Caenorhabditis elegans: one gene and its partner. The protein of the gene in region 1 purifies or fractionates together with the protein of each later gene. This does not show direct contact. Each region holds a gene or a part of one and is shown in the gene's direction. Other genes may lie near its edges.

Evidence for each region.
Region 2: the proteins of par-1 (region 1) and par-2 purify together in Caenorhabditis elegans (affinity purification with western blotting; 3 studies listed by BioGRID, with this or other methods). This does not show direct contact.

Annotation. Positions count from the first base shown.
Region 1 is NC_003283.11:14,123,399-14,128,507, reverse strand, and holds the start of par-1 (Serine/threonine-protein kinase par-1), read left to right. Parts: upstream 1-1,969; coding exon 1,970-2,193; exon of another isoform or gene 2,194-2,252; intron 2,253-2,264; coding exon 2,265-2,397; intron 2,398-4,710; coding exon 4,711-5,109. UniProt on the Caenorhabditis elegans protein: Required for cytoplasmic partitioning and asymmetric cell division in early embryogenesis. Phosphorylates and restricts the asymmetry effector mex-5 (and possibly also mex-6) to the anterior cytoplasm of the zygote.
Region 2 is NC_003281.10:1,079,320-1,084,401, forward strand, and holds the start of par-2 (RING-type domain-containing protein), read left to right. Parts: upstream 1-2,075; 5' UTR 2,076-2,089; coding exon 2,090-2,200; intron 2,201-2,313; coding exon 2,314-2,397; intron 2,398-3,674; coding exon 3,675-3,812; intron 3,813-4,742; coding exon 4,743-4,814; intron 4,815-5,017; coding exon 5,018-5,082. Other genes in the region: Ras-related protein Rab-18, read right to left, coding at 363-587, 639-892, 968-1,023, 1,086-1,162; kbp-4 (KNL (kinetochore null) Binding Protein), read left to right, coding at 1,601-1,790, 1,836-1,939.

The DNA of each region.
Region 1 (5,109 bases):
TGTAAAGTTCCAACCTATCCCATGTTTCAAATTTCTGTCAAAAATGAGTCAATAGGCACACAAAAACAGAAACTTTATCACTACTTCACAGACATGACGGAGTCAATTTTTGACGGCCCGCCGGATGTGATTCATAGACTTTGAACCATTTCAATCGATAAGCTATTGGAGCTCCTGTAAGCTGGAATCTAATTGACTAACAACCAAAAACTGGCACAACCCTATTCATTGCTTTTGTAATGATGCTCTTTGGTGTACATTTTCATGTTTCCTCCACCCTCTTAGTTCTCAACCTATTTAATAGTGCCACGTCAATCCGAGAGTTTGTGATGAGTTTCTCGGTTAGTACGATTATAAAGAAGAAAAGTGAGACGCGAACTTCTTTTTTTCAACTCCATCTTCGTCGTCTCGGTGCACCTGGTGTGTTGTCCTATTCTATTCGGTTCTACCTCCTCCACCCCCAATCTATTCAATTTTTATTATTGACTTATCGGAAAGAGAGTCAGTAATAGGAGAGGTGGACACGCAGACGTTGTGAGAAAACGACAAGCGCCTCGACTGAGAGAATTGAAGAACTGACTCATTTTTGTACTGAACTGACTGACAGTGCAGACTGGTTGACACACCTGCTCAGAAGCTGCTGGATCACCTTACACATTCACGTGCGACACTATTTTATTCAATTATTGTTCGCGATTCAAGATTCAAGAACTGTTAAGATGACGAAGAAATCGTACGCATTTGCACTGGATCTCGATGATTTGTGCTGTGACGATCATCCATATTCATATTCACCACCTTCCACATCTTCACGGCATTCTGCATATTATCCATCTCAACAGCCTCGGACCTTTTTTCCGGAATATGAATTGACCAGGTTTCTATCTTGTTTCAAAATATTTTTTCCGGCTGCTTCTCTTCTTGAATATGACTCATCGCCCCCTCAATTTTTCGTTGGTCGTGCTGCAAGAAATTTTCCATGATTCATCATAGCAGCTTGTAGTATAGAAGAAGACCATCGTTGTTCTTGTTGAACATCAGATTTTACATTTTATGTCCGGCGCCTGAGTTCGCCTTACTTTTTTTGTGTTCTACGAGGTACGGGCAATATGATGAACGTAGCCACTAAATGGGGCAAAGTGGCCGAATATAATTAGTACGTTTCTAGATTCGGTTGACCTTTGATTTTATATCCAAAAAAGGCAGTTTAACGGTTTTCTTTTTGAAAAACAATTTTTTCTAACTGAGGGGCTGGAACTTCCTTTTCTATTGGAACAACGCGTCTCAAATGAAAAAAAAAAGTTTCCGAAGCGCTATTTTTCGAGTTTTTTTTTTTCATTAAATCGGCTGTAAAAGTCGTCATTTCTTCCCCTCTGTGCTGACGTCTTCACTCAAAATGAAGAATTGCAAGCACAACGAGATGACGTTGGATGGCCCCGCAAGCAGTCAGCATCGAATGAAAATTTAAACACAGAAATTCAACGAGCCCCGTCCATCAAAGCCACAAAAAAACGGGGGTCCGCGAAGGGAAATTAGAAAAAACGAAGAGGCATGGCGGGGGGGGGGGGGACACGATTTTATGTAGCACTTGGAGCAGCACTTTGTGGGGGCATTTATCGGTCGGCGGGGAGGGTTTTTTGGAGAAATTCCGATGTGATGGGAGCAATAGAAAGAGAAGGGGACACATATTCCCTCTTAGTTTTTTTCTCCTTTTGCTCACACTTTTTTCAAGAGGAATACAGACAGATAGAGAGAGACATGGATGCAATTTGTGTCTCTTCTCCAAAGTGTGGATGGATGGATGGATGGATGTGTATGGAGAAAGGCCGCCCATCTTCTTCTTCTTGCTCGCTTGCTCCTCTTCTACTGCCGGCGCTCTCCTCGTTTTTTCCAGTGTGTCCGTCCTCCACGCTTTGCTCCATTTCGGGGAGCCCCAGGGCTCTTACGCGTCCGTTTGACCTAATTCGATATGTTCAATGCGGCATACTCGTCGTTACTCGCTAGATTTATGTGCCAGCCAAGTAGTTCATCTGTGACGCCTATTCCGGAAGAGGAGGAATCTCTGATCCCGAAGCGAAAAGTGTCTGAAGTGGTCACTACAGCTCCGATGGCTCCCACACTAACTTCATCTGGGAAACGGCGAACGGTGAAAGTGTCACCTGATGGAGATCATGTCACACATAACCGAAAAAAGTTAATTTTAGTTCACATTTAAAATTAAAATAAAGCCCCAGTCCACCAGTTTTCAATAAAAATTTTTCCAGCTCTTCATCACATGCACGATCTACTGGACAATCGGGTATGTCAAGTCGATCGGCAGCACGACGCAACGATCAGGATGTACACGTTGGAAAGTATAAGCTATTGAAGACTATTGGAAAGGGAAATTTTGCAAAGGTGAGCACTTGATGATTGGAAATTTCGAAAAAAAATAGTTATCAAAAAATTAGAGCTTGAAACATACTGTAGCCGGTCTCGACACGACCGAGCGCCTTTAAGGATTACTGTAGTTACAAACTCCCGGTTTTTGGCAAATTTTCTGTTTTCCAAATTTTTTAAAAATTTTATTTATTAAAACCAGTCGATGACCGCGCCTCCGGCGCGGCCAACGACTGGCGGAGTTTAAAATGTATAATACATAGATGTCCTTTTAATCATTCAAAAATGTATCATTAAAAAAGTTGAAACTTCATCGATTAAATCGCATTTTCTTCTTCCATGGTATTCGATTCAGAAAATTCAAAGAGACAGTTAGAATGTTCTGATTTTTCTACACTCAAAATTATAAAACTGCGTTGCGTGTACGCCAAAATAGTCCCCGCCTTTTTCTCGTTCACTCACGGGGAAAAGGCAAAAAGCGGTACCCCAGGTAATATCAGCCGCCGACATCATTCGAGGTCCGCGCACCACACTATTTTTCTCACTGTTGGCGTGGCGAGCTGTCCCCCTCCCCCGAAAAAATTCCACAGAGTTACAGTTTTTCAATAAGTTAATAACTTTCCTTAACTGGAGAAGTCTGAATAATTAACTACTAATAGTAAGTTCTTTGAATATAGATGTGACGAAACAAATAAAAACTCCTACAGTTATAGGAGGTTGTAGAGCATTTCAGAACTTTTTTGAATTTTCCAGATGATTCTAGAACATTCTAGAATTTTCTTGAAACTTCCAGAAGGTGCTGAAACAAAAAATTGATTCCAGAACCAAAATTTGAATTTCCCGCCAAATGTTTTCCTCAGAAAATTTGAATTTCCCGTCAAAATCTTTTTCTCAGAAAATTTGAATTTCCCGCCAAAATTTTTCTTGGAAATTTGAATTCCCGCCAAAATTTCTTTTCTCATAAATTTTGAAGCTCCCGCCCATATTTTTAAAGGTCCCACCACGATGGGTCTCGCCAGTTCCAGGTGGTACTTAAGCTAACAAAAAGTTTCTCAGAAAATTTGAATTTCCCGCCAAAAATTTTTTCACTGAAAATTTGAATTTCCCGCTAAAATTTTTTTCACTGAAAATTTGAATTTCCCGCCAAAAATTTTTTCACTGAAAATTTGAATTTCCCGCCAAAAATTTTTTCACTGAAAATTTGAATTTCCCGCCAAAAATTTTTTCACTGAAAATTTGAATTTCCCGCCAAAAATTTTTTTCACTGAAAATTTGAATTTCCCGCCAAAATTTTTTTTACTGAAAATTTGAATTTCCTGCCAAAATTTTTTTCACTGATTGAATTTCCCGCCAAAATTTTTTTTACTGAAAATTTGAATTTCCTGCTAAAATTTTTTTCACTGAAAATTTGAATTTCCCGCCAAAATTTTTTCACTGAAAATTTGAATTTCCCGCCAAAATTTTTTTCACTGAAAATTTGAATTTCCCGCCAAAATTTTTTTCACTGATTGAATTTCCCGCCAAAATTTTTTTAACTGAAAATTTGAATTTCCTGCTAAAATTTTTTTCACTGAAAATTTGAATTTCCCGCCAAAATTTTTTTTACTGAAAATTTGAATTTCCCGCCAAAATTTTTTTCACTTAAAATTTGAATTTCCCGCCAAAATTTTTTTCACTTAAAATTTGAATTTCACGCCAACATTTTGGGTCTCACCACGAAGGGTCTCACCACGATGGGTCTCACCACGAAGGGTCTCACCACGAAGGGTCTCACCACGTAGGGTCTCAACACGATGGGTCTCACCACGAAGGGTGCCACGCCCACTATTCTCACTGAAATTTGGGCGTGACGTCACAGACTCCAAAGACTACATAGACTACAAACTCCGGACAGACGAACTGTATTTTTTTATATATAGTTAATGATATTTCCTTTTTGAGAAGTAATTTAACTTTTTTATATATTTTTTTTGAGAAACGAGAGAAAATTTCAGAAAAAAAAATCTCGGTTTCATTTTTTTACGCTTAAAATTTATTTTTCGAAAACCCAAAATCATATAAAAGTCATGAAAGAAATATAAACTTCGAAAAAATGATAGACATATTGTGAAAATTTGCAAAACATTGCACAAAAAACAGGGAATCACAACTACAGTACCCTTTAAAGGAGTACACTCTTTTGTTCAGAACATTTTAAGTCGTGTCCGGACCTTGGAGACCGTGCACCGTAACTTTTTATTAAAAATCTTTTTTTTTCCCAGTCGGAAATACGAAACAGCCTGACAAAAATAAATCTTAGATATATGACCATTTAATTAATTATTTTTGCAGGTAAAACTCGCAAAGCACGTGATAACCGGACATGAAGTCGCTATAAAAATTATCGACAAGACTGCTCTGAACCCATCGAGTCTTCAAAAATTGTTCCGAGAAGTGAAAATTATGAAACAATTGGATCATCCGAATATTGTGAAATTATATCAAGTGATGGAAACTGAACAGACACTGTATTTAGTACTCGAATATGCATCCGGTGGTGAAGTATTTGATTATTTGGTTGCACACGGAAGAATGAAAGAGAAAGAAGCAAGAGCCAAATTTCGACAAATTGTCTCTGCTGTTCAATATTTGCATTCGAAAAATATAATTCATCGAGATTTGAAAGCTGAAAATTTGCTTCTCGATCAAGATATGAATATTAAAATTGCTGATTTTGGATTTTCGAATACC
Region 2 (5,082 bases), on another chromosome or scaffold:
GTGAAAATTGATGAATTTTGCATCGAAAACAGCGATTTTGCTGGGAAATTGGCGATTTTAGGGGAAAATTTGCATTTTTACATGGAAAAAGGCCTAATTTAGGTTAAAATCGATAAACTTTGCATGAAAAACCAGCGATTTTAAGCCAAAGTTGGACATTTTTATATGGAAAAAACGGCGATTTTGAGGGAAAATTGGCGATTTTAAACCGAAATTCACGTTTTTACATGGAAAAAACAGGATTTTAGGTCAAATTTTGACAATTTACATGAAAAAAACAGGATTTTAGGTGAAAATTGATGAATTTTACAGTAAAAATATCGATTTTATGTCAAAATGAACGAATTTTCCGCGAGAATTTCCTAGCATCCACACATTCCGCCGCCACCACTGGAGCCCGTCGGTTGTCCCAACCGAAAAGACGGGCGGTCATTGTCCCATAAGTCGGGCGTTTGAATGATTTTCTCGATAAGCTCCTCAAATGTGCACTGTACACCCTCCTTAGTCTTCGCAGAAGCTTCAATGAATAGTGTGCGGTGGCGTTTTGCGAATTTTAGGCCTTCCTCGCGGGTTACCACTCGATTTGGCTGAAAATTATTTTTTAGGCCAAAAATCGAACAAAATCGGCTTTTTCGCACCATATCAATCTTGTTCGCGACCATCATCTTGATAATATTGTCATTTGTGCAATAAGTATCGACTTCTTGCATCCAATGATTCAATTTCTCGAAGGAGCTGCGGCTAGTGACGTCATACACGCAAATTACGCCCTGTGCTCCACGATAATAGCTCGGCGTGAGGGTACGGAACCTCTCCTGGCCGGCGGTGTCCCAAATTGCGAGTTTTACACGATTTCCGTCGATTGCCATTGAAGTTACGCGGAAATCCACGCCTAAAAAACAATAAATTTAGGGTTTTTTTGGCCTAAAAATCAAAAAATCCAAAAATCCCTGGAATTTCCACGAACCTATCGTTGCAGCCTGCTCAGGATCGAAGACATCGTCCACGAATCGTAGCATTAAGCTGAAAATTTTTGAATTTAAATTGATTTTTTTAAATTTTTTTTGGGCGAGAAAACCCCTCACCTCGACTTCCCTACGCCACTTTCGCCGATAATCAGGATTTTGAGAGTTGTGAGGGGGCTTGAACTGTCGTCGGACATCTGGAATTCGTAAAAACGAAGGGAAAATGCAGGATAATTTTTTTTTTGTTGGGAAATTTACGTTTTTAAGGATAAAAGATAAAAAACTCGATTTTTCAGGGTATTTTCCCCATTTTAAGTTAATTTTTTAACACTTTTAAATAGATTTTTCACCTTAAAACCCAAAAATTTGCCGAAAAATCAATAAATTTCCCTTCGAAAATGTCAGATGTCGTTGCACGAGACGCTCTTTCGGAAAAGAGAGCGATGGAGCGCACTTGCACTTGGCACGATGCCAAGTGCCTGTCGTGGTGAGACCCGATGGCGCGAAAATGGATTTGTTTGAAATTTGTTTTTTTGTTTTTTTAATTTTTAAACGTTTTTCGTGTTTTTTATTTTTATTTTTTTTGTTTTTTATAATTTTTCCAAATTTTTATCAGTTTTCAGCAATCAAAAAAAATGCAAAAATCAATCGACGACATGATCAACGAAGTTCTCGCGGTAAAAGTCGAAAAACTGCCGAAAACCCAAGATTTTTCGGATCTCCAAGAAGTTTGCGCCTCCAAACTGCAGATAATTAACAAGGAAATGGACGAGGCCGATCGGAAGCTGGAGGAGACGCTCGAGAAGCGAAAATTGGTGGAAAAACGTGAGAAATTTAGTGAATTTTCACAATAATTTTCCCATTTCCTAGAACTCGAAGACCTCCAGGAGCAGTATAAAGTCAAGGAATTCGCGTTTTCTCTTCAAAAAGAGTTTCAGGATGAGCTGAAGAAGGTCGCCGAGGAAATTTTCTAACAATTTTCATTATTTCTGTACATATAAAGTTCTGTATTCCTTAACCCCGTTGTTTTTCCCAGTTTTCTGTACTTTTCATGCATTTTATACTTATTTTTCAGCGTTTTTCAATGATTTTTCAGGCTCAAAATCCTCATTTTCAGCCCAAAAATGACGGATTTAGACACTTCATCCGCTCAAATACGGGCTTCGCAGAGCGATTTATCGATTGCCAACTCATCGCCACGTCTGCTGGAGTCCAACGCAACTACTTCTACAGCGGTAAAATCGGATTTTTAGCGGCGAAAAAAATCGAAAAAACGCATTTTTTGCTGGAAAATAAGCAGAAAATCGTGTTTTTCGCCCTGGAAACCGCCTAAAAACACAATTTTCAGTGCATCAACGACGTTCAACAGCCGGTTCGACGCGATTTGAGCTCGGAACTCCTCTGTCCACTGTGTGATCAGCTTTTCGACAGGGTTAGAACATGGAAATACCGAGGATTTCAAGAAAAATTGCGTGAAAAATGGCGGATTTTCCATTAAAAATCGCTTAATTTTACCCATTTTTGACCCAAAAATGTGCAATTTTCGTCTTTTTCCAGCTATAAATGTGAAAAATCGGGGAAAAATGCGAAATTTTCTCATAAAAACTTGAAATTCCGAAAATTGTCTTGTTTTTGCCCATTTTTCCAGATTTTCAGCCAAAAATCACGATTTTTTGGGGATTTTTAGCTAGAAAACCGCATTTTTTCCGATTTTTAGCATAATAATCACAGATTTTCTCGGATTTTTACAGTTTTTTGCCGATTTTTACGATTTTTAGACTAAAAACTTTGGATTTTTAAGATTTTCAGCACAAAAACCCCAGTTTTTCTCGGATTTTTACAGTTTTTAGCTTAAAAACCACAATTTTTCAGATTTTTTTCGATTTTCAGCTCAGAAACCCCAGTTTTTCTCGGATTTTTACAGATTTTAGCTTAAAATTTTGGATTTTTCCGATTTTTAGCCCTAAAAACCCCAATTTTGCCGGATTTTTTCGGTTTTTAGCCAAAAAACTCCAGTTTTTCCCATATTTTAACGATTTTTAGCTCGAAACCCACAATTTTTCCGGACTTTTACAATTTTTAGCCCAAAAAACCCCAATTTTTTCGGATTTTTCTGATTTTAGCTCAAAAATAACCGATTTTTTTCGGATTTTTCTGATTTTAGCTCAAAAATAACCGATTTTTTTCGATTTTCAGCTCAAAAACCTCCCATTTTTCCAGATTTTTCCAATTTTTTGCTCAAAAAACTTCAATATTTTAAGATTTTTTTCAATTTTCAGCCGAAAAATCCAAATTTTTCCGGATTTTTACAATTTTAACCCAAAAATCACACCGATTTCTGCCGATTTTTACACAATTTTTAGCTCAAAAATCACCGATTTTTCCCAGGATTTTCCCGATTTTTAACCCAAAAATCTCGGTTTCTCAGGATTTTTACAATTTTTAGCCCAAAAACTACACAGTTTTCTCCCGTTTTTTTACGTTTTTCATCTCAAAAATCACCCATTTTCCCAGATTTTTAGCTCAAGAAACCCCAGTTTTTCAGCGGAGTTTTCCGATTTTTAGCCCAAAAACCATCAATTTTCCCGGATTTTTCCAATTTTTATGTCAAAAATCCCAGTTTTCCGCCGATTTTTTCGATTTTCAGCCGAAAAACCCCATTTCTACCCTAATTTTTACAATTTTCAGCCAATTTTTCCAAATTTTCAGCCCGTAATGGTAACATGTGGGCACTCGTACTGTGAGCCGTGCATCGAACGACATACACGTGATACGAGAGCCTGTGTAATCTGTAAACTCGACGTTGGACCATTTGCAGCGATGATTCCCAGCATTACACTTGATAATGTACGACGGATTTTGATGCGAAATTCGGATTTTTCGACAGTTTTTACCCCGGAAAACCGTGGATTTTTACCTTAAAATCGCATTTGTCAGCCAAAAAACTCTAATTTTAGTCCGAAAAAACGATTTTTCACGGCAAAAACTACAAAAATACGCTTAAAAACCCGATTTTTTCCTCAAAATTTTGAATTTTGTGACTAAAAATTGCATTTTCAGCCATAAAAAGCATAGTTTTGGCTTAAAATTCAATTTTCGAAAGTTTTTAGCCTTAAAGGCCGAGATTTTGACTTAAAAATCACATTTTCCCGTGGAAAACTTGATATTTTTCAGCCAAAAAAACCACAAAAATACATTTTTCAACTTATAAATTATGCATTTTCGGTCAAAAATCCGATTTTTCCTTGAAAATCTTGCCGAAAATTCAGAAAAATGTTGACTTTTACATCTAAAATTTCTTGATTTTCGTTGGTTTTTACACTGAAAAACCGGAATTTTGACCTAAAAATAAACTTTTTCATAGGAAAACCTAAAAAATTATGAATTTTTGGGTTAAAATTCTCCATTTTCAGGGTAAAAATCTGTTGGAAGCCCTGAAAATTTTGATTTTGAAGCTATTTTTCGCATTTTTCGCAGAAAAACTCAATTTTAATCTCAAAATCCCGATTTTCCAGCTAAAAATCCCAAATTTTTGCATTTTTTCGCCGAAAAACTTAATTTTAGTCAAAAAAAATTGCGATTTTCTTGCAAAAATATCAATTTTTTGCAATTTTTACCTTGAAAACCCAGTTTTAATCTCAAAATCCCGATTTTTCAGTTAAAAATCCAAAATTTTTGCAATTTTTAGCTCAAAAACCCAATTTTCTAGCTAAAATCTCAAATTTTTGCATTTTTTCGCAGAAAAATACCAAAACATTCAACGAATTTTCGTTTCAGATGGTCCGAAAATTGAAAAACCAGGAGAATATCGAGAGCAGCTACGACGATTTGTTCATTTGTGAGGAAAAGGTTGAGTTTTTGCAGGAAAATGCGAATTTTCAGGGTTTTTGAGTGAAAAAATCATGAAAATTAGGTGTTTTTGACCCCAAAAGTCGGGTTTTTTCACCATTTTCAGTTGAAAAATCGTGGTTTTCCACTTTTTTTAAAGCTTAAAAACCCCCGATTTTCCCAATTTTTACCCCCTAAAAACCCGGATTTTTCACTATTTTCAGCTCCAAAAAGCGCCAACACCACCAATTTCGGAGGAAATTCCGGCTCAAAAAATGACGAGAAGCCT